2 linked regions of the Arabidopsis thaliana genome follow. The protein of the gene in region 2 interacts with the protein of the main gene of each other region in a biochemical or structural test. Each region holds a gene or a part of one and is shown on either strand. Other genes may lie near its edges.

The links.
Region 1: of the proteins of CRK1 (region 2) and ACR4, one has a biochemical effect on the other in vitro, tested with the Arabidopsis thaliana proteins (one study listed by BioGRID).

What each region holds. Positions count from the first base shown.
Region 1 is NC_003070.9:25,952,459-25,964,545, reverse strand, and holds ACR4 (ACT domain repeat 4), read right to left. Parts: upstream 6,980-12,087; 5' UTR 6,704-6,979; coding exon 6,700-6,703; exon of another isoform or gene 6,359-6,699; coding exon 6,286-6,358; intron 6,190-6,285; coding exon 6,144-6,189; intron 6,047-6,143; coding exon 5,932-6,046; intron 5,840-5,931; coding exon 5,772-5,839; intron 5,690-5,771; coding exon 5,087-5,689; intron 5,007-5,086; coding exon 4,902-5,006; intron 4,821-4,901; coding exon 4,467-4,820; 3' UTR 4,145-4,466; downstream 1-4,144. Other genes in the region: AT1G69050 (uncharacterized protein), read right to left, coding at 2,287-2,571. UniProt on the Arabidopsis thaliana protein: May bind amino acids.
Region 2 is NC_003071.7:17,145,915-17,158,817, reverse strand, and holds CRK1 (CDPK-related kinase 1), read right to left. Parts: upstream 8,724-12,903; 5' UTR 8,327-8,723; coding exon 7,844-8,326; intron 7,671-7,843; coding exon 7,540-7,670; intron 7,449-7,539; coding exon 7,407-7,448; intron 7,322-7,406; coding exon 7,213-7,321; intron 7,005-7,212; coding exon 6,926-7,004; intron 6,835-6,925; coding exon 6,538-6,834; intron 6,423-6,537; coding exon 6,310-6,422; intron 6,194-6,309; coding exon 6,086-6,193; intron 5,998-6,085; coding exon 5,935-5,997; intron 5,853-5,934; coding exon 5,685-5,852; intron 5,578-5,684; coding exon 5,440-5,577; 3' UTR 5,125-5,439; downstream 1-5,124. Other genes in the region: AT2G41160 (Ubiquitin-associated (UBA) protein), read left to right, coding at 131-155, 242-342, 912-1,052, 1,184-1,250, 1,660-1,811, 1,898-1,999, 2,120-2,227, 2,337-2,504; AT2G41150 (plant/protein), read right to left, coding at 3,185-3,413, 3,491-3,720, 3,823-3,925, 4,052-4,285, 4,387-4,479, 4,642-4,967. UniProt on the Arabidopsis thaliana protein: May play a role in signal transduction pathways that involve calcium as a second messenger. Serine/threonine kinase that phosphorylates histone H3.

The sequences.
Region 1 (12,087 bases), on a different chromosome or scaffold from region 2:
GTTTCGGAGAAAATTCGTGAAAAGAAGAAGAAGAAGAGAGAGATTGAGCGACTCGTGCCCTGCACCTCAGGAAACGTCGTGGCCTAATCGATCAGAGAAAATGGGTTTTGTTCGTTGATTGGTCTGTCTTTGGAATTGAGAGTGAAACTCGTGTCACCTAAACATATTTCTCTCTCACTTTGTATTAATTTTCTTTCTTACTTTCAAACAATTTTTTTTTTGGAATAATGTAGGGTTTTTGGACGTTTAAATTAAAAGTTTTGTATGTTATTTTTTTTTTATAATGAAATTATGTAATTCCATGCGAAAATTGAATTTAATCTAGTTTTTGATTATGTTATTTTTCCTTTATTGTAATCATCAAGTCGCAATTTCATATAGTACATCATATCTTATTTTGATTTCCTTTTCTTCTTCGTGATCATCAAGTGGGTAAAATCATGTTTTAAATTTTAAAGGAAACATATGTAAATGAGAGAATTTCAATTTTGGTAACACATATATATCCGAAATTAAGTCTTATAATATATGGTATGTAGAGATAATGCAGAAATGTAAAAGTAGTGAGGTATATTTAAGTCAATAAATAATCTGACGGCTCCAATTAATACTCTTATGACCTTTAACCAAACGACAATTAATTTGGTCGTCGTATCTAAATAAGGTGGTTATCTATAGTTAATTAAAACAAATCGTAAAAAACCTTTTTCATTTTTCTATAAATCTTACCAAAAAATTAAGATTTTTCATCAGTTTTAACTCTTAGTTAAATTTTTGTGGAGTTTTACACACACACAAAAAAAGAAAAAAAAAAGAAAAATTTTTGTGGTATAGGAAAAAGGTTCCTATGTCAACGCATCATTAACAATGTGATGAAGAAAAATTAACAGGGTTAGTGTTTAAACTCACAAACTTATCTTTTCTTTATCAAAATTAAAAAAAAAAAAAACTCACCAAAGAAAGATCAGAATTAAGAACATAATAAAAAGAAAAACAATAAATTGTTGGTAGAATTTGTGGGAAAAAAAACTAAGAAATCAAGGTTTATGGTGATTGAAAGAAACTTGTACATTAATTAAAGAGATTGTTGCAACAACAAAATTTCTATTGGGTTTGTTGGTAGCTCTGGAAGCATGTAAAGAGGTCTTGTCTTCTCTAATTTTTGGACCAATTCCAGTTACATTAGACCAAAGTCTATAGGTATTAATTGGTGTGAGTGGCGTGAGGTGCACACACTCCTTGAATAATTTCATTAAGAGACAATAAATCAAAAATAAAAGTTGATGATATCTTACTATATTATTTGGGAAGTACATTTTAAATCTAACCTTAATTTTTGTAAGTAATTACATAGGTATGCCATTAGAAATAAAATTTTAAAGAGTAAATTAATTTATGTATTTAAGGATTAAAAAGTCAAATACTAATTTAATTAATTAAATTAATTAAAAAACGAAATACATTATTAATTTCCAAAAATAATAGCCAATCAAAATCAACATATAAGATTTGATATCTAAATTTTAATTAATTTAATTTAATTTCAATATGGGTTAAATCTTTAATTTATTATTTTTTTAAGACCACTAATATTAAACATATCAAATCATCCTAATTTAGAAAAAATTATATAAAACCAAAAATGTTATGTGGTATGTATAATATTACTATATATAAAATTAAACTATAAAATATAAATGTATTAGAGAATGATACAATTTGCAAAACTTTTATATATAAAATATAATTCTTAAATTTTAAAAATTACTACTTAAAAAAAAAATCATGGAACGGGTAAAGAAATTACAGAACGTGTTTTATTTTGGAATTGGGTTATATGGTGGATGTATTTGAATCAATATTTATAAAATTTTAAAAAATTATAAAATATGCTGTTTTAATAGGGATCAAAACTTCAGTTTTTTTAACAACTGTCTCATGAATTCGTGGTGTACTATTACTTAATAACAATTATAAACTGTAAAATATAAATATTTTGTAAAAATAAAATTTGCAAGTTTCAATATATATTATTTTTAAAAATAAATCGTTCCGCGGTATACCGCGGGTTAAAATCTAGTTGTATTTGTACAAACTATAAATGATGTGTTAACAAAATAAAATCTTCAGTATAATCAAGATTGAGAGAAGACGATCTTTGTGAAATTTGTATAGAGACAATAACAGATTTGTATCTACGTTAATATGTTGAAAATTTCAATAAAAAAAAGAGTTTCAAAATAGTCATTACAGAAGAAAGAAGAAGGAATCTAGACAAAAGAAGAATTAGTGAGAGGTGGTGGTTGGATTAGGTTGAAGCATCGAAGGAAGGACGAGAGGAGACAAGAGAGGGATCGGATCTGTGCCGTTTTGACAAAACGTAGACGTAGAAACACCTGTCGTAGTAGAAGGAGCCTCCGCTGAAGGAGGAGGTCTTGGTGGTAAGAGAAGAGGACAAGGAGCTCTTCTCTGAAGCCGGCAGCTAAGAGATCGTCGGAAAACGCAATCGTCGTTGTGAACTCTCATCTCAAAACCTGGAAATGGATCTCCTTTACGTCCTGAATCCTCCATTCTTGCTTCTTGCTTCTTGATAATAATGTATCAAGTCTTGTTTTGTGTGTGGATTGGTGTTTGGGTTTGTTGATGTTTTAAAATGTTGAATGTTTTTTTTTTTCCTTTTAAAGGGTTTTAAGCTGATAACGAAATTAGGGGTTGCTTAGCGTGAGGATTTTAATAGAGTAATTAATAGTATGGATAAATATAAAGAAGAAAATCCTTTTTTTTAAACGTAAGAAAAATAGAAATTGGGTGAAAGTGTGGTTGTTGTGGTGGTGCCTGTATTGACTCAATATGGCAAAAAAAACAAACAAGAAAAAAAACTGGTCAATGGTCAATGGATTGGATAGATATGAGATCTATTATAATGGGAAGTATGCTTAGTGTGTTTTTCTTCTTTTCTTAATCAATTTTTATGTTTAGTCTTCTTATATTAGATGAGAATTTTAATTTTGGCATGAGGAATGCGTTATCGTTGGCAACATGTGGCCGCGTACGGCCGTGTATTTATTTTTAGGTTTTAGCTAATTCGTCATATCTTCTAGACGAAAATCGGAAAATGTATAATTCTCACTACATCTATCTCACACAGTTTAGATGTTTTGAATCAAATCACACTATAAAATAGAATAAATCATTAAGCTTAACCCGTGAAAGATGAAACAAAATTACTTCTTCTTATTGTTATTTATATTCTCAAACTTAGAAAACTCATTTTATTATTACCGTATATAAAATTCGACCACTCATGCCAAACACACATTAATCTCTAATAATCAGAAGAAAATGAAATTTTTGTAGATCATTCATTTTTTTTGTAGTTGGAGAAAACTAAAACTCAAAAACAATGTTGTTAAATATGCATGTGGGATAGTCTGCAATCTCATAATTTATAAAGACAATCTCTGAAAGTTAAAAGATTTCCTCTGCCATGAAGAATCCTAAACCCACACTGAAAGCCATGTAATTGAGACGAGTCACATGTCAATATATATATATATGTTAGTTTAGTAAATTCTGAGAAATTTCAAATTGAAAAGCCAAAAAATATGTAACATTTATCAATGAATGTGGAAAACTAAATGGGCGGTGTGTGGTGGTGGGGAGGTGTATCACTTTGTTGGTCTCAACATGTGACTCGAGAATCTATCATACACACATTGTCATCGACATAGTTTCAGTATTCACGCCCCATAAAGTGTTCGGTGGTGACAATATCTACACCCCCCCTCACATGTTCATTTTTGTTACATGCTATAGATTATATTTCTTTATACAAATTTACTATGAAAAATCTGTTGCAATTATGTGTAATGTTCATCCATTCTCCACTTGGGCTATGTATTTGGTTTGGCTCAAGAAAATTCTTAAAGACTCTATATCTATTATTTTCAGCTTAAGATTTTAGAAAAAGTTACATTTAATGGAAAACATTTTTTTGGTTGAATTAATTTTACATTCATTCACAAAAAAAAATCTTTGAAATGGTGTCTCTTAATTTGCTAGAGTCTTTCTTTCGATATCATAAGCCAATAATTTTTTGGTGTAAATTTAGGAGGTTTGTTTGGAATCATTCAATCATATTTCTTCCCATAAATCACTAAATTATGAAGTATAATTATGTCTTTTGTAGTTATTTTGTTTCAAGTCATGGAAATTTTAATTTGACATAATAATCTGAAGAAGAAGATAATGAGGATTTGATATATATACAAGAAGAGTAGGTTAACACTTAACACTTAGTCATGACATCAACTAAAACTCTTTTGTCTTTTTTTCCCTACCCAAAGTTGGATCCTAGACCAAGAATTTAAGATTATATCTGGCGATAGATTTACAGATTCTTCTCAAGTTTAAAGCAGTTAAAACCTAGATGAGATTGAAACCTCACAGCTAAGTGAAGTTGTTCTTCAAGAGTAGGAACGGACCAAGCCAAAGTTGACAAAAGATTTCGACTTGAAGAGACCCCCAAAGAGAAATCTTGTCGGTGATTCGTGAGAAGGCGATTTCTGTCTTTGTTGTTGTTCTTGAGGGTTGTTCTTGACTTTGAGAATAGTTTGGCCTATGGTTTGTCTTATGGAATCTATGGTCTTAGCATCGATTGAGTAACCAGATGCATCACTGACATAGAATGTGTTTAGAGCTTTGCCTCCTTTGGTTTTCACTTCAGCTCTTGTGACCGTTAGGCTGTTTTCACGGAATATGCGAGTCACGTTTGACAATAAGCCTACTCTATCCGTCGTGCACAGTTCCAACTTCAATCCCTAAAACATCAAACAATGATCTCTCAGTGACAGTTACAGAAAGAGTATATACCAGACACTATATATTACTGGATCATTTACCTCAGATACTCTTCTTTTGATAGCTGCTTCAAGACATTGTATGACTCTTTGCTTCTCTGCCTCTGATTTCACAGGGGATCCATCTATATGTCTCACATAATACTCCTGCAAAGCAAAGACAAAGACCGATAAGTAAATGGATTCAAGGAAACTCTCTGCTCTATGGTAATGGGATATTTCTTTACCTGAAACGCCTCGGTGCCCTCAGTATCAACACTTCCATGGAAAACCACATACTGCATATCAGTCAAAGTGCAGACTGTGTCGAACAGAAGCTTTGGTCTGTCTTTACATCTAACTGTGACCACAGAGTAATCCTTATCGAGCCAATTATCAACACAAACATCTGGTCTTTGCCTTTCATCTTGGATAGAGGAATCATCATCCACCAAACGGTGTTCATAGTCTCTATCCTCAAACATCATCTGATGAAGCCTCCTATCCGTGTGGACCTCCCCATGAGACACTACGGTTTTAGCTTCCCTTGGTGTGTTGCTTCCCTTAAGCACATTTCTGAGAAGGTTCTTGATCCGAGACAACCTCTCTGGATCAGAAATGCCACACCCGGTTAAGTCATCTGTGACCTGCATCACAGCAGCTGCTCTGGTGTTGTGTGTCCAAATCTCAGCGTTGAGGACACTGCATTTGAGATGGGTCAAAACAGCTGACAGTTCAGACAGCAGACCTGGTCTGTCACATCCAGTTAACTCAATAACCGTGCTGTCTGTTGATGGTATGACACCAACTGATCTCATGGAAGTGGAGAAACAAGCTTCAGGCCCAAGAGACTGAGAATTAAACACAACACACTCATTAAACTCTCACTCACACATAAGAAGAAGATAACAAGTTTAACAAAAAAACACTCACCTTTTGGATATAGTCTAGAACAACTTCATCAGTGACTTTGTTACCATCTTGATCAGTGACATTAAATACTGCCAAGTAGCAGAGAGAATAAGAGAATCAATCCCTTGTTCTAAAGTAAAGAGAATCCAAAAAAAAAGAAAATTTAACAATCGGAACATACCATCCATAAACCAACCACCATCAGAAGATATGTACGCCTTAGTGATAGTAAGGTTAAGATCAGTAAGGATTTGTACAACTTCAAGAAGAATCCCATATTCATTTGCACTATCCACCTAAACAACATCAAGAAGACAAAACAAAAAATTCAGGACAAGTCTACATAAATGAATAAACAAGATATATAGACATAAACCAAAATTATAAGTGTACCCTTATCACAGTTGCCTTCTTGCAAGAGTCATTATCAATCACAACCCTGGAAAATAAAACAGAGGTTTTTATCCAAAATCATATCACACTATTAAAAGTAGTTATAATAACAAAAAGGAAGGAGAAAGAAAAAAGTTAATACCTTGGTGGATTCATTCTTCTTATCAGCTTCTCATACTCATTATCCATATCTTGTGAAAAACTCATACTAACATCTGCAATCAAAAAATTCCCAAATATAAAAAAATCAGTGAGTTTCAAAGACAGAAACTTTCAAAAATCAGAACAAAACCCATGAATAATAATCTCTTCTTTCTCTCTGTATTCTTGTAAATACCAATAAACAGAGAGATACCACTGACATCAAATCCTAGGTAAATTTCTAAAAGAGCTTAACAGAGAAAAAAACCACAAGAAGAAGAAGAAAAACAAAAACTTTAACCTGCAACTACCAAATACTGAAAACCCCATAACCAATAATGAAATATCTTACCCAAAAATCGTATGAAGAAGAATCAACAATGAGAAAAAAGAAAGAAAGAAAAAAGAGACATACCCATGTTCCTTTTTTGGGTTTAAGCCACTGTTTGATTCTTGACACTTGAGAGAGAAGGAGCAAAAGGTTGGAGAAAGACCTGCATATATAATGGCGACCCACAAGATCTTTTTTTTTTTCCTTTCACTCTAATAATATTTCCTTAAAATTATTAAATTAAAAATGGAAAATTAAACCAACAAAAATAGAAATTAATCTGACACGATTCTCCCATAAACGAGCAACTCTCACGAAAAATATCTTTATATTATTATAACTTTCCCGCGGCTTCGATCAGAGGAAAAAAAAAACTGATATTGCTTATTGTTCTTAATATACAGTGAAGAAGAAGGAAGAGAAAAGATGTGTGAACTGTAACTCTCAGCGTATGTTAGTAAACAGTAGTATGTTTTAAGTGGAAAATAGCTAAAATGCGCGGATAAGTTAGCATGCTACATATCTTTGTTTAACCACGTGATGGTAATTAAATAAAATTACTGGGTAGTAATTATGACAAGGTCTCTTCTAATCTGTAACCCAAATTTCTCGGAGTAGAAGATGTGAAAATTTTTTAATTACTGTTTCGAATTTTAAGCCGATTATATATTATTCTTTTGAGATTGGATCGTGTAATGTAGAGATTCTGATATATATGATAATTTCCTTATTAGTGTGAAAAAGAAATGATATGATTCCATGATTCCATCTTAATAAATCATATATATTCCATCGTGAAGAGAGATTCATGACCCGTATTGATTCTATGGAATATTATTAAGATATATACAATGTGCCATAAAATCTCTGAAGAATATATATTTATTTCCTAACTTTTGCTCCAAAAGGAATATATATATATATATTATATATGTCTATTTCCATTTCAAATCAGGAAAAAAGATAACTGCAAATGGGTGTTTTTAAAGAGCGACCATATGGAATAATTGTACCGTATCAAAATTATTGTCCAACGTTTGTTTTCCTTATATTAGAATTTACAAGAGACCGAGAAAAGAAGCCAAAAATATACAATAGTATTAAATGGACCATATTTTGTGTTTTTGTTAAACGTTGATGATTACTTTAAATGATCCAATTAAATCGAGTAATTAAAAAAACGTAACTGATGGACCAAGATATTTGTTGAGTCACACACTAACATTGATTTTAAATCCTCGTTATATTACATGTTGTTAATAAAGAAAGAAGAAGAAAAACGTAAATGGTGTTACGATCAAATAGTTTTGTTTTTAAGATTCTGTCGGAATTAAATACAATCGAGATTCAAGAATTAACCGATGGAACACATAAATGTTGAGAGACAGAGGAAAAGCGAAAATCAATAGCGTGAAAACATAGAGCATACAGAGTTTACAGGGTGGCAATGTACTCTTCGCTTTACGTACCATTGTCTATATATTGACCGTACCTTCATTCACATCTCTTTCCCAACATTAAAGATTTGTTTTTATTTTTTTTGGTTTATTATTTCACATTACCAAATTATTGATAAATAAATACATCAGATTCGAGACCTCCTCGGCATTTTCCATGTTTTTCAACAACCGAAAACACTATGGAATTTAATTATGTGTGAGTTTTACACACACTATTTGTGTTCTATCTATTTCTATAAGAAAAGTGAGTTATATATATATAATCGTTTCCCAACATATTTACGTAAAGTTCGCATGGGACTCAAATATTTCTACATATTCACATCTAATAGTAGTATTTGTATATATATATATATATATATATAGAAGTTTTCTTTTAAGAAAATGGGGAATGTGTTTTGGTGTACAAAATGATGATCCACCATGACTGAATGAATATAATCATATATATATTGGCATGATTTTCAAAATATTTCACAAAAATATGTAGAGATTTCAAATTTAATATAATTTTTTCCAGGATGTCATTTTTAATGTGTTAAATAGTAGTATTTTAACAAATATATATATGTATGATCATTCATTCAAACATGTAATACAGTTTTGTATAAAACTTTTTCTTAAAAAATCCTGATATTTTACAAATGGAACGACAGCGAAATCTAGTACCCATGATGAATTATCCAAATATTCATACCCAAATGTACTTACGACATATCTACGACTATATATATATATAACATATGAAATCGATTTTTTTCGTTTGCAAATGCATGCAAGAACTTATGAAAAAAACACAATATTTTGAATATTCAGGAATTCGATTTCATACATGTGATGTCGATTTTGTTAATCTAATTATCAAATTTAGATTCATTGAACTTTATGTTTTTCAAATATTTGCAATACATTAGTTATATATATAACTACCTGAAAGAAAAAAGAAAAAAATCAAATTCGAATCTATTTTGCTGTTTTGTATGATACGTTAACTTGAGCTATTGTCATTAGCTGAGATGTACAACTAATAAAACATGAGAGATTTAAACCCAAATTGTTTTACAAAAGTTTACCGAAATAGTTAAAAATCAGGGGTCTACAAAGTGACAAAACCAATCAACATATTAAGAAGTATTAAAGTTTCTTACATTTTGAAGACAACAAAAAAAAAAGAAAAAAAAGGTTGGAAGTAGTAACAAGTGTGTGAGTAACCACTAACCAGTGTTACAAACTAACCATGGTTAGGAAAAAAAAACAAAGAAACAAGTAGCGGCCAACTGAATTAAATGGAGAGACTGCAGTCACATGGTTAGGCATACAAAATAAAGCATCGTGCTGCATGAGAGCCGGTCTAGGAATCTGCTGTGGCCGAACCTACCTTTCTCTTACTATGTTCCTTCACCTCTGAATTTCTCGTAATCTATCCCACGTTTTGTCTACTCTCCCACTTGTTCATCTTCAAGCTAAGACCTAATTCAAGAAGATATTTGTCATTTATCTCAAAATACTAGTACATCTTTTATTCTTAAGTTTTAGTGTTGGAGGTCAAAATGTCTTCGAGATAATTTGTAATACTATGATTTAGGAAAAAAGAAACTGGTTATTTACATTTTTTGGGACAACACATTGACTTACATATGGATCAAAATAAGCTCCAAAAATAAAAAGTGAATGTGGGGTCGAAATGATGAGGCATTAAGAAGTAATTTTTTTTATTTTTTTTTGAATAAAATGTTAAATTATACTGAAAAGAAAAAATGTTGGTTGTACAACAAGTGCATCATTGAGAAGTAATTTTCACTATTGCAAACGAAGAAAAAATGAGGAAGAAAAACTCGAGCTAAAACGCAAAACCGATTCGAGTGTTTTGAAATTTTCGGAACAACCCATCCGCTAATAGATGGACAAATAAAGCTCCAAAAAATCGAAAGTGGACGCCGGGGGTCTACAAACGGTGGCATTAAGACATATCCATCATGTGAGTTGGATTTTCTAAATTAGTTTCTATTACTATAGCTTATAAATAGTGTAATTCTGATACACACATCGAGTCAATCAAGAGGGCCAAATTATTGGTGTATATAATTTATAGAATCCTTTACTACTTTTACTGTGTAAATGACAGATATATTTGCCCACATTGTCGCAATTTGATATCACAGATGGTCGGTTAATAATATCTACCATGATTGGCTTTTATTACCCAAGGAGAAAATAAAAAATATTCATGGATTAACGTAGAGATGAAATAGTTAAATAGTGGCTGAAACACTGTTTATAAACTCTGTTTGTGTGTGTTCGAGGTCGTTGGTCCAAAAGGTTGCTTTCGGAGATCGAAGACAAGAGTTTAGCTATAAAGAGGAGATTTTTAAAAGATATAATAAAAAATATTACGTTTGTCCGAATCGAAGTGATGTGAAGGTGACCATGTTCCTTATTAATTCATGGTTTTGTCTTGTCGAGATTCAAGCGCGGGGCTCTATATCTACTAACGTATATGGACTAGTCACTTCTTAGTCACGAACTTGGATTTTCTCTTTGTCGTTCAATTAATTTGGTCATTTTTTTTTGAGATTTTCTTCTATTATATTATTGTTCCTGCATTGACCCATTTAAACTATGCAAAGTTTGCATGGTAATGAAAAATTAGCCTTGATTAGCGGTGCAGGCATGTAGTAGACATTTTAATAACGGTAAAGAAAATGTAGTACGTTTTACTTGGTGTGAGTAATATACTAATATCGTTTAACTCAGTGTAATCTTCTTAATATGCTAATTGTTATAACTATGATTATTTTTACTTCTTTTTATGGAGGTTTTATAACTACACTTTTCTTTTTGGTTAAACTTTATAACTACACTTATCAGTTCTAATGTTATAAAATAATACTTTCCGCGTATAAAAGGGATTTGGACTACGGAATTAAGGAGCAAAAAAACGTCGTGGCCGACATATGCAACATAATTTCCAAGCGAATTCATGGAAGTGCGTCATTTAGACCGGCAATGATCAAAAAATGCAAATCCTGTCATAGTTATAAATACTAGCCTTCTAAACTTTTCGAGTTTCGTATTATTTGTTGTTGTAATATATTACTGGAATGTCATAATTTTCATTTATTAACCAATTAACAAAAAATATCAAAACTTTGTATTATATTAACTATGTTAGTTTACTATAAAATTGAATATTTGCATGCAGCATGCATGAACAAAAAACATGTTCTCTAACTTCGTCGGTGGTGGAAGTAACTTTGTGACGAGCTCACAATATTTTTCCATTTGATTGTTAAAAGTTAAAACTGTAGTAAAATCTTAAGTAATTTGAGCCACATGCCCACATGTTTGTCTTTAAACTGAAAATGTAGAAGAAGAAAATATTGCTAAGGGATAAAAAAAATTTGCTACGAACATCAATCCTCTTTTAAGATATTGCTAATTTTCTTAAAATTCAAATATGTAATGTGGATGCTCTTATAAATTTTAAACTTATATGTTTCGCTTTTCTTCTAGTAATATATCGACCATTCAACAGTTTTCGACTTTACGCAAACGGTTTTCATGAAGGTTTTATAAAATTCGTTATAAATACATTAAATATCCAAAACCAAAACTGGTTAATACAGTATGGTCCCCAACCCTAGAACTAGGTCTTATCAGGTCATAGCCTTTTAGGCCTATGGAATCCACCGGATTCTTGGTTCAGTATCAGTTTAGTTTTACACTTAACACACTAATTTTATATTAGTAGATTTTAACCTGTGATTAACTACTAAATAACTGTCTTCCGTTACGCAATAATAATAATATACTTAAGCCATGATGTTATTAGCTAATCAAAAACAATAAAATAACCTGAGTCAACGGTCAACTACACGGAGACACAACACCGCCCCTAATTCTACCTAACTAAAGTCTAAAGTTACTACTAAACAAGTAAATTAAGCTTTCCCAATTTGCAGTAAATAAATTATTAATTAATTAATTATCAATAGATTTAAATACAAAAAAA
Region 2 (12,903 bases):
CGAGAAGTTCCCGGAAACATCCCTCCGTAGAAAATTCATCGGAGGCGACTTGAGGAGAAACACGGAAGCTCCGATCTCACAATTTCGCGACGAACTCGCTTCAGCGATTGTTTCTGTTCATCCGATTAAGATGAACGGAGGTCCTTCCGGTTTCAGTTACGTATCGAAATTGAATAACCCATTTCTCATTTTAACAGCTTCTGGGTTTTTGGATTAATGTCGAAATCTTTGAAATTTGCAGATAATGCTCCGGTCACGAAAGCCTTCGTCATCGCGACTGCTCTTTTCACTGTGTTCTTCGGGATCCGGGGAGGTTCTTCCAAGCTCGGCTTATCTTACCAGGTCATTTCTCATTTGATTTTGCTGTATTTTTTATTATCGTTTTTGATTTTTAAGCTCTTCTGGGTATATAGAAGAATGAGGATTTGAATTTGGCTCAGATTTGTTCTCTATTCGATATTCTTGGTACCAATTGTTTAGCTGCGTTCTTATTACCAACATTGGCACTATAAAAGATTACGGGTTATGCTTAGGTTTCCACTGCAGTGTGCAAGGTTTTGACTTTATTAACAGGAAGCAGCTAAACCGATAAAGCTTTAGTCTTGGCATCATACTGTATAGTGCTATACTTTGATGGAGTTTTTACTAGGATTAGTCATCAGACAGTGGTGTGAGCTGAATAATAGATGGGTTTCTTAAGCAAATTTAGGCTCCAAATATTTAATAGTTCGATAATTTGCGTCTACTCGTCTGATTGTGTATGTCAGTAGCCTTGCATTTGGAAAGATGTTTTGATTGTTTCAGAGATCTTTGTTTGTGTGGTACAAGTTCAGATTTGTTTCTTTTGAGAAACGGCTGGTAGCTGCTATGAAAAGGTATCTCTTTTTAAACTTCTGCCAATCTCATTGCAGGATATTTTTGAGAAGTTTCGGATTTGGAAGTTAATTATATCGGCTTTTGCCTTCTCGTCCACAACTCAATTGCTTTCTGGCTTATATTTGCTATACTTCTTCCGAGTCTTTGAGAGACAGATTGGTTCAAATAAGTATTCGGTAAGGGATAGTCTAGCTCAGTTTTTTCTTCATGACCTTTTTTTGTCTATTATTTTGGTAAATAGCAAGATACCTGCTGATATTTCCTTTGAGATTGAAATTCTATGAGTTAATATGTGCTCATTCTGCAGGTTTTCATCTTCTTCTCTGGATTTGTATCACTAATACTAGAGACCATTTTGTTATCATTGACTAAAGGTAAACCTTCCTATTTTCAGATAGTCTCTTCAAAAACTAGACCGGTTTGATATGATTTACCTTTATGATATGATTTGGGGGCGCTAATGCAGACAACTATATGGGATTGTAGTTATTAGTTAGCCTTGTTACTAGTCTTTCCCCACTCATCGAAGGAAAACTGTGAAGGGAGGATTGGGATATTGTGACGATCTTTGTTGGTTTCAAATTCTGACCTGCAATTTCCTTCACTCATACTATTGAAAATATCTTATAAAGAATTCCCTTGGTCCATCATTTAAATTATCAAGAAATGCTTTTTGTGCATTCTTAATAAGCATTTTTGATATGACCTTTTATACACTCCGTATCACAAACACTTTACAGTTATTGATAGTGGGTATATAACAAACTGCTGTCTTTTTTGTAGATCCTACTGCAAACCTACTGACATCTGGACCATACGCCCTCGTATTCGCTTCTTTTGTACCCTTCTTCTTGGATATTCCAGTTACAAAGAGGTTTGGTGTATTGGGCGTCCACTTCTCTGATAAATCATTCATATACCTTGCAGGTGTCCAGGTAAACAATACCATATGTTTATTTGTAGGACTTCTTATTCTTCTTCTTATTTTCATTGATAATTGTCTCGGTTTCAATATTTGTAGCTTTTACTATCATCATGGAAAAGGTCCATCTTTACTGGAATTTGCGGTATAATTGCTGGTTCCTTGTATCGGTTGAACATCTTTGGTATTCGCAAGGCAAAGGTTATACCTTCCCAACTCTTGCTTAAAAACAAACTACATTCATCTCCTCAAACGTGGGGCTTTTGTCACTTTAGTAACACAGTGGTACTAACACTAGTTTTTGTTTTAAATGTACGACAGTTCCCGGAGTTCATGGCTTCGTTATTCTCCCGGTTTTCCTTACCCTCCTTGAGCAGCCATTCTCAACCACCAAGAAGGACATCACCCAACTTAGGTCGCCAAGCAGTGGCAAGTCTTTATCTCTGCACCATTTATATTTTGCCTCTTTAGCCAAACTCTTATCACAATCTAAATAACACATCTTCATTTACTGATATGTAATGTTTCTGTTTCTCAGAGAGCTTATCGAGCTCCAATGCCGTCAACTACAGAGCCATCAGAGGAAGCCATAGCTACTTTGGTATCTATGGGATTTGACCAGAATGCAGCGAGACAGGCGCTTGTACACGCCAGAAATGATGTCAACGCTGCCACCAACATCCTTCTTGAAGCACACTCTCACTAAACCTTCTTTACTAGGAAGTTTCAGAAACATTGTTGATTCGAGATGAAGACATTGTACAACAGAGGTATTCTTCTGCTGCGTTCTAACAACGGAAATGGCCTTGCATTGACGATAATATGTCCAGTAAATGATCTGATTTACATCCTCTTTATCTTTCTTTTAGGTTTTCTTTTGGCCTCTTTTGTTTGCCGTTGTAGTTTTAGAACAAAGTGCCTAGGTTATGTTATGTAAGTACAGATTTGAAAAAAATATGAAGAGGCTTATCTGATTAAAATCTACTGATCCATTTAACCTTTCACAGAACCTATTCTCTTTAGAAAAGAAAGAAAATATGAAATTTCACTTATATTGGATTAGGATATCGAAAGTGGCTGCAGAAACTTGCTTAAAAGACGAACGACCATACCATGTAACTCGAATGTTTTTAAAAAACCATTTCTGGTGCAATGAACATTGAAGTGAAGATAAACAGATTGATTTACACAAAAATGAGTCAGCCAAGTAGCAAATCTAGTCTGTTAGTCTCTGTTAGAGACTCTGGTTACACATACACAGAGTTCCTATGCAATAGAATCTTCAGATAAGATTAGGCTTTTAACTCCAAGTATTTGAAGAGTAATGAGACTCTTGTCTGAATCGTTGTGTAGACTTTGCTAGTGCCTAGTGAGATCATAGATAGTTTAGCTTGCTGCTTCTTTGCCTTCATCCATGGTGTAAACTGGTATTTCCCAGTTCTTGTTCTTTTTCGGATCATCAGTCAAAGTGAGATCGGTTTCGTACTCTCTAAATGTTTTGAAGAATGTCTTTGCACCCATCATTATCAACCTCTCCACCATGAACAACTGGTAATTGTTCTCGATGATCGGATCCAAAATCTCACTAAAATTCGATGAATACGCCACTTTGTATCTGCAGTGTAACAAGAGTCTTACACGAACATTCTACATATATAACTAAAAACTTGAATCTAAACATTATGGTTTTACCTGATAGCTAGAGGTGAAAAGAAATCAGGGGTTCTTTCATTAGAACCGATAAAAAGAGTCCGTCCTGGTGGGATTTGTTTCTGAATTCTGCCAATGATGAATTCTGGCCGTGTGTCTCTATCTAAATGTGGAAACTGGCTTCTTTCCACGCGAAATCTGTCTTTTCTTGTTTTCAGTTTGTCACCTCGACGAACATGGATTGCATCGTAATCACCAAGTTTTGCTTTTATCTGTTCAACCAAAACTGGTCATAAATAAGCTATAAGGCGTCAACAGTACATTACCATCTGGTCACTCTTTCCTGAAAGCTAGATTATGTGCAACTCCTTCACCTTTTCTGCAGCATCTCTCAATCTTGATGCTGCCATAGTCTGGAGAAATGAATAAGGAAGCATGACGTCGCTACGATTACCTCGATCCTTGCATTCAACAAACCTACAATGAAGATAGATATATGATCTGATAATGATGATGCCTAACACAAACAAGATAAGAAAATAATGCTCAAGGAGCAGCAACTTCCCAATCTATTGGAAACACAATTTCCTCAGCAATGCTTACCATGCAAGGGGGCTTGCGGTTCGGTTAATGAGCAAAAGATTTGTAAAGTCGCTAGAGTCATTTAGCTCATGCCTGTTTGCCCCATATACATGCGCACTCCCACGTTCTTTCAATTTCATACTCGTCGATAGCATTATGTGCCATGTTTCCGAGTCATCCAAGATCACAGGTATTTTCTCAGAGATGAGATCAATATCATACAATGATTCCATTGCACAAGAGCTCACTTCCCAACTAAGAACATACAAAGGAGAGAGAGAGAGAGACCTCTTGTGTTCAAAAGTGGGAAACAAAACAAAACCTAAGTTTTTGAAGTAGTTTAAAGAAACTCTCACCTTTCCTCTCTAGTTTCATTGTTGGATCGATTAAGTATACCCTTCTTGTTATGTATTGGATTGATGCACATCCGAGATGGCATTACAAAAGTCCTGCAACAAGAAAATTGCAATTACAGTGACCATCTTTACCAAGAGAGCTGCATCATTTATTCAACTAACCATCTCATTGAACCAGATAGGCTAATTGCCATTTCAAGAACTTCATCAGAAATCTCAAAAGTTTGACATATTGGTGGATTTTGCAAAAGTTACCTGTTCAGAAACATGGCTTCTTCAAGGGCACATCTAAGGCTAGATTCTTGGTGACCCAAACCGGCACAGGTCTCACAGTTCTTACCAGGACAATCGATTCTGTTTCCCCAGTACAAGTACTTGTCCGACAAACTATGCTGTGTCTTGTTTCGAGTTGACCTCACAAAATAACCAATTAGGGTTGTCCGATACGGTAAAGCCAATCCGCCGGTGGAGATCACCGAAGTGAAAAGGAGGAGAAATGCAACTGCGACTATACATAACAGAACAAGTCTTTGAGATCCTGGAGTGGCTTTTAACTTATGGGGTTTGCTCATTGTCGCCATTAATGAAACTGTTGTAGTGTCTAGATCAGAGTAAGAAGAGAGAAAGAAAGAATCTTTGCGACGGTTAGGTAGAGATTAAGATGAGATCAGAGATCTTAAGGTCAAAGTCACGTGGTTGTCTCTGACAATGTGAGACACAATCACGTGTCGTATCATTGCTCTGATCCAACGATGGCACAAAGACAAATTGTTTTTTCCGGCTGCCATTAAAAGAGTGCTTCACACGTAAACATCACTGGATTAAAAACACCAATCGGATATGTCTCATTCTGTACATTCCTCTTCTTCATAAACCTTTCCTTCCCACCACACACAAATACACTCACAGACATAATTATCGAATCTTTGACTCAGAAGCTTAACCATGAATAGAAAAAGAAAACTAAAAAAACTATCAAGAAGTGGAGAGGAAAGAAGAAACCAGATCTACTCCACCTAGTTGCATCTTTTCTCATCTAACAATGGCGTTACTCTAAGCTTTTTGTAAGGTCCGAGAAGACACGCCATGTAGCAATCTGACAAACCCTAAGAAACTAAGTTTGCCATCAGAATGTCTTATCCAATCCTGAAGAACAACGTGCACCGGCACTGATGGCCCTAGTCCGAGTTCCTGCAATTTAAAACATACAGATGCTTAAGATCAAGCATGACCAGGTTTTTTGCTCTTCACGAGTCTTCTCTAGCCCCTAGGTGAATTAAAAAGGGTAAAACTTATACCGATGCAAGTTCTTCAATCATGATGGGCCTATTCCCGTCTTTCTCAAACAACTCGTAAGCACGCCGTGCATGTTGCTCCCATGTCTCCATTGCTTCGAGCTGATAAACGCTTAATGCTGAAGCACAAAACTCTTCAAAGTCTAGTTTCTTGTATTGAAGACAACTTATCTGCATCCCAACAGAGATTACAACGTTAAACCACCAAACCTAATGATTAAGCTTATAGTCCTTATATTTATAGCTTTCTTACCATGTGAACAAAATCAAACACTCGAGAATCCTTCATAGCATCTGTTGAACTCTTTAGGATTGCCTGAGATTTGTAGAGGAAAGTTCAATAATCACAGAAGATCGCAAAAGAAAACTGAAGAGGTTGATGGAATCATGGAAAAACAACTCACTGTTTTGTAATTCTGCATCGAGATATATCCATTTTTGCTTGGCCCCAACAATGTGAATTGCTCCCGAAGATACGCTAACTGCGGTACAGTTAATGTTTTGGCAAGAGCCTAAAACCATGAAAAACAAAACCCATTAATCATAAAGTTTTCATTCAAAGAACTCAACAATTGAAATTGTTAAGTAAGTAGTATATATGTCACAGCTTCTGTGGAATCAAACTCACCGCTAAAGCCGATTTTCTCAATGAAGTTGACATTATGTACACTTTTACAAGCTTGTATATGATCATATCAGATGGAATCTTTAGTTCATGCGAGCCAACCAGCCAGGGATGACCTGAGGAAAAAGACAATTGATTACTCAGATGTTCAGAATATAAGAAGTGCAGAACCATGAAAACAAAATAATGATGTGTTAAACCTGTTATAGAGATCAAAGATATTATACTTACACAAAGCCTGGGCCGCAGTTAGTCTTTTACGGTAATCTTTGTTTAGCAATCTCTTCACAAAATCTACAGCTTCGGGTGATAGAGAAGGCCAAGGAGCTTCTTCAAAATTCGGTTCTGCCTTTAGTACAGCTCGAAAGATTCCGGATTCAGTACGGGCCCAAAAGGGTCGACTGCCACAGAGAAGAATATAAGCAATCACTCCTATACTCCACATGTCAGCTTCTGTTCCATATGTACGGTGTAAAACTTCCGGGGCCACATAGTAAGCACTCCCTACAATATCATTCAACCTCTCGTCTGCAGAATTGCAAAACACCGTCAAATTTTCTATTTAACATGAAGATGAGTTTGATATGAGAAATCTTGAGTCAATTTCAACATCTCTAACCTGGCTTGACATAGTCAGAAAGACCAAAATCAATTGCTTTCAGAGGAGAAGTCTCATCCTTGGTAGAGAAAAGAAAGTTCTGTGAAAGGTAAACAAACAAATAGAAAGAAACATAACCGTCATTATCACTCTGCATAAGTTAGTGGAACTCATTTCTATGTGTACAAAGACTGCTTAATGTGATGGGACCTAGAAAGTGAAGTGTCAACAAAAGCCAAAATGATTTACAAAAAAAAACAATGAGAGAACAATCTAGAAATTAAACATCACCATGGATTATAAAGTACCTCGGGTTTAAGGTCACGGTGAACCACACCTTGTAGATGACAGTAAGCCACAACACTGAGAATCTGAACCATAACTTTTTTAGCATCATCTTCGGAGTATTTTCCACCCCTAATTAGATCAAGCTCAACCAGTCAAAGCACGATTCAGAAGAGAAAATCAATCAGATACAGAGCCATGTGTGATTAGCAATTACCTTTGAAGTATTTTGTCCAAGAGTTCACCACCTTTGCATAATCTGGTAAAAGGAGATTACAATATATTTATTGCAATCCTGGAATTGAAAATCAAATGATCTTAAGACATCTCACTGAGAAATGTATACTTACTCCATGACAATATAAACATTTTCATCATCTTCAAACGCGTCATAGAACTGGACTAGGTTCTTATGACCAGTCAAAGCCCGCAACATCTTCACTTCTCTACTAACATCCTCAATCGCAATTGCAGTTGTCATCTGCAGTCAAAACCATTCAACACTAAGCAATGACTCGGGGTCGAGAAACAAGCTGTATACTTCTATAAACACATGGCGATAAAACTAGAATTCGAAATCATTGTCATATATTTCAAAACAACATAACGAATACAGAATTAAGAGAAATTGATTTTCAGTTTCAAAGATCGAACCTTTGATTTAGGAATAACTTTAACAGCAACTTCTTGACCTTTCAAGCTACCTTTTTTACCCTTAGCAGAGCAAGTATATCCAAAATGTCCACGACCCACCTCACCATCAATCTCATAGTGTGAAGCAAACTGTTTTGAAAAGCCAAAACTCTTATCGAGACCGATCTCACATTCTTTACCTTCGGGAATCGAAACCTCATTAGGCTTGACAGAGCCATAGCGACGCGCGAGGAAAGCTCGTATGTGCTTAGCAGGAGAAGGAGGAGGGAAAGGTCTCTTGAAGATACGAAGAGGCGTTGAGCTCACGCTAGAAGATACAGATGGTGAGGATTTGAATAAGCTAGGTACAGGACTCGGGCTATAAAACGGAAAGCCAGAGGATTTCGCCGGTGGCTGTGAATTCGTCGGAGCTTCATTAGTTTCGCCGGAAACTGGGAGGCTTTTTGATTGTTGCTCGACGGGTTTTCCATGACAGATCCCCATGAATTGTCAATTCGAAACGAAAAGCTTCAAAATTTGAGAAGAATATCGATATCACTCCGATGAATAAGTTAGGTTGCGAAACAGATTCATGTGAGAAGCAAGAAATCCCAGAAATCGAGACTCGGAAACCCAGAACGCAGAGAGGGGTAAGGAAATTGAAATTAACAAAAAGGTTGAGAATTGAGATCAATAGATTAATTAGAGGAAGATAAACCACACGCAAAGAGGAGGAAGAAGGAGAGAATTGAGTTTAGTTCCAATCAGAAGCAAAAGCTAAATAAGTGAAAAGAGAGAGTCGAACAAGGAAAAGCAAAAGACTCTTAAGAATGAAAAAAGGAAGAAGAAGATGCTTTTTTTAGCAGTAGCAACAAGAAAAATAAAGTGGAGAGAATCAAAAAGAGAAAAAGCAAAGCCAAAGGCTTCATTCATTTCTTTTGTTTTTATTTTATTCAGTTCTTTTAGTTTTTAATCACTTTATTGTTAAAATGGGATTAATGTGATGTTTGGCTGCCAAGAAAAGAGTCTTCCTTCACCAACTTGCTACAAAATTATGATGGTAAATTGATTATTAAAAAATTTGTTGCTAATTGATGGCTAATGTATAGATATTCTTATGTTTTAGAAATATTGTAATGTCTTGTTGATATCAAACCCATCAATTTTAACTTATAGAGAGAGAATAGACGAGATGAGTAGTCTCTATATTTGCTAAATTCTATCAAGACTTACACAGCAACCTTATCTTTGCACTGCCAATTTTGCTATGTCTACAAATATCAATCGAAGGATCCAAAAGAGTCCTAGAATCATGCCAAAATATATAAAAGCAGAGCATATATATAACCTCGAAGTTGGTACTTGATAAAAGAAAGCTCTACCCAAAGGCCTAATTTGTTTCATAGGGTTAGCCAATTGTTAAACCAAGTTTTGCCAAATTTCACTTGTCCACCACATATATCAACTTTACACCAAAAATGAATGAGTTGTGAGAAGGAGTAGGTAAAAGTTGTGTTTTCTCTTTTATGTAATTTAAATCCATATCAAGTTGTAAAAACATCATTTAACATATGTTCTTATTATGAATTATAGTTCATTTGAATTTAAAATGAGACATAATTTTCATTCTCGAAATTCTTTTTGTTTCTTCTATATCTCATTCCAGATTTTGGTTTGCCTACCCATAAACTTCGAAAACAACATCTAAGAATTTACTTGCACGTCAAAGCCCAAAGGAGTAGATAAATAAATAATAGTTTGGGTTTCTGCACTAGGCACATCACATATATATGATTTATCATACCGATGAATATCTAATCATGAATAGTTCTCGACGTAGTATAGTACGACATTGCCATAATTAATCAGCTATCATTCTTTTCTTTTTCCTTTAACTTTTACATGACCGGGTGTTTTAGACTAAAGTTTTCATTTATACGAAATAAAAATAAAATGACAATGCTTTTAGACCTTGATATTTACGTCACAGTTATATATAAAACCATGCTTTAAATTATAGAGCATCACAAGGCTATCATACTGGATTAAATATGTTTTCTTGGGCTATACATCTTCCAATGCAGCCAATCGTCATAATCCATAAACATTTATGTAATCCGTGAGATAGTGAATTACCCACCCAAAAAGAAAAATGCGTGAGATAGTGACGATCTCACGTGTTATAATGAGTTAAAAAAACTCAGTATCCGTAGTTGGAAGGCAATGATTTGATTGGTTTCTTTCTTTTGAAACGAGTTCCTCGAGTGATTATTTTAGTCTAAGATCAAATAATTGCGTTCATTGTTGGCACATTGGAATTGAAATTAGCATATTTAATTCTTTAAGTTTAGTTATTGGTTCTTATTTCTATTTTCATTTTTTTTTTTGTAGAAGAGTCAATTTACAATACAAAGATTGATGAATCGTACCTGAAACTTGAATAATATTTTCAGATTGAAGATGAAACTAGACAAATATATAAAGAAATATTTTACGTACGTAAGATAGCCCAAGGAAAGTATAAAACAGAGAAAAACCCTAACAACCATCTTCCTCGGTGGGCTTTTTTGGTTGTGAGTTATTTGGCAGCAAAAGCCTAAATTATTACTAGAAGATAATGGAAGGAAAAGTAATGTATCGGAGAAAAGAAGAATATCAATATTCCTTGACATCTATTTTCTCCCACTTCTTTTTCTTTTGCCACCTCTTTTCATTTCTAATTTTTTTCCTACATCGTAAATTCTTATATGAAACAAAATAAAACAAAAAAAGTTCCATTTATACACTCATGTTAAGTCACACACACAAAAATAAAAGTTTATGTAACATACGGGCATTTTGCATAATATGTCAATTCAATTTTTTCCCATAGAATTTCACAATAAATCACATGCAGTTGTACGTATTTTCATGTACTTACTCTGTTTCGGTTGCATCTACAAAGTCCGATTTTAACAAATTCGTTTAGTTTCGATTCAGTATTGGTCCCGTGAATTATTTGGAGTTTTGTATAAATTGATTAATAATATATGTGATGAAAGAGTTGGTGCCTTTGACGTACGGCATAGACTTAGAGTATAGAGACGTGGTGGTCTTGTGTAACTCAAGTGTTGTCATGTCGGAGTCACTGTGGGACTGCTCTACTCGAATCTAATTTGGGCCTTTCTGAAACCCTAAAACCGATTTTGTTCCAATCTCAGTTTGGACCCCTCTTCTCTCACCTTAGATGGGCTTTTGGATCCTCGATTCTTCTCCTCTGTTTTCCTTTTTGTTTTTATGTTTCTTAACCCATCAAAGAGTTTAATAATTGAAAAGAAAAAGAGTTTGATCGGTTTTATCTAAAAAATCTATATAGCAGCCATTTTGTGAAATAAATCCTATAGTTGGGAATTATTTACAATAACTGCCACTAGATTTTAATGTTTGTTTTTGATAATTAGAAAAAAAAATCTTTGAATAATTAAATATTTGACATTTAACAATCTTCCCTAAATCTCTCAACATTAACTACACGATTAGTTACTAAAATAAAACTTGCAAAATATTTAATATCATTTAATTATTACAAAATTATTATTTTTGATATTGCTTTTCTCCATGACTATAATAATTCGATTATAATCATCAAACCGCAGAGATATTTGATAGCATTTAATTACTACAAAATTACAAAATATTTAGACAATAATTCATAAACATATCATAAATAAGATCAATATTAATAAAATAAATAGTTTTTTACGGGACGGGTTGGCGGGACGGGTTTGGCAAGACGTTACTTAATAACAATTGTAAACTATAAAATAATTTTTTTTATAGATAGATACAATTTGTAAACTTTTATGTATACTAACTTTTAGAAAATATCTAGTAAGGTTTAAAAGTGAACCAAACCACAATAAAGTGTTTCTTATAGAGTGATTATCCCAAGACTTGTAAGTCTTAATTCTCGGTTTAACCCTCAAATATACTTTAAAAGGTTAGAAAATGTTGCATTTACTAGATTTTTAAAGTTATCAAAAAGTTTTTGGAGAAACAAAAAACATATTGTGGATTCCAGATAAACTAGACAGTAGTCGCATATATAGATGTATAGATGTAAGTTAATTTAACAAATGATTTCTTAATATCTATTGGTTTTAGATTTTCAATTAGTATTGAATTTTTATTTTAGAGATGGTTCACTACTACGATAGATCAATTAAAACGTTAAAATGAATATAAGTTCTGACAATGGACAAAATGAAACACTGGTTTAAAGAATGAGTAAGATATCTTTGTTAATAGCAAAGCAATAATTTAGTAAGGTTTTCTAACTTTCCGGTAAAACCCCGAAGTAAGTGAAAAGGTTCCCACATTTGTCTGTGTAGGTAAACAAGAACACTTGACCAAGAAAGACAATAAGAACACATGAAAACAAACACATATTTGACATATAATATGATAACTTCTATTTGCTTGTTTGTGAAATGTAGATAAAACAAAGTAAACACAAAGAAAAAATAGTGATATTCAAAAAGGAAATAGGATGGTCAAAATTGTGTGGTGAGATAAGAAAGGGCACTCACATGTTCACACGATGGAACACTAACGTGTGAGGTTAATGATTGCTTTTGCCACACTACCCATAAACTTCAGAAGGAATTTTTAAAAAAATTAGAAGTTTTTCTATAGTTTCTTTTGAGTTGAATACAAATATAACTTTAACAATAATATATAGTGCAAAAGCTAAAAATATTTCTATAAGATATACTTTTTGGTCGAGAGGTTGAGTATAGAGGGGACACCAGCTGCCCCAAAACCATCACGCTCCATGGACAAACTTTCTCCACCTTTTTTTTTCCTTCTTCTTCTTCTCTTAGTTTTCTTCAATATTATTTTATTAAATTCGCCATAAAATTATAGTTTATAGAAAACAATTATTAAAAAAGAGAGAAAGGGAAAAGGGAGAGTGATGAGAAGAGTCGGTCCTTTTTGTCTCATAGAGCCAATGGCCCATCAATTTTATTTCCTTTTGTCAGTCTCCTTTTCTCACGCTTCCTCTTCCTTTAATCCCACATTCACCTTCTTCTTCATATATA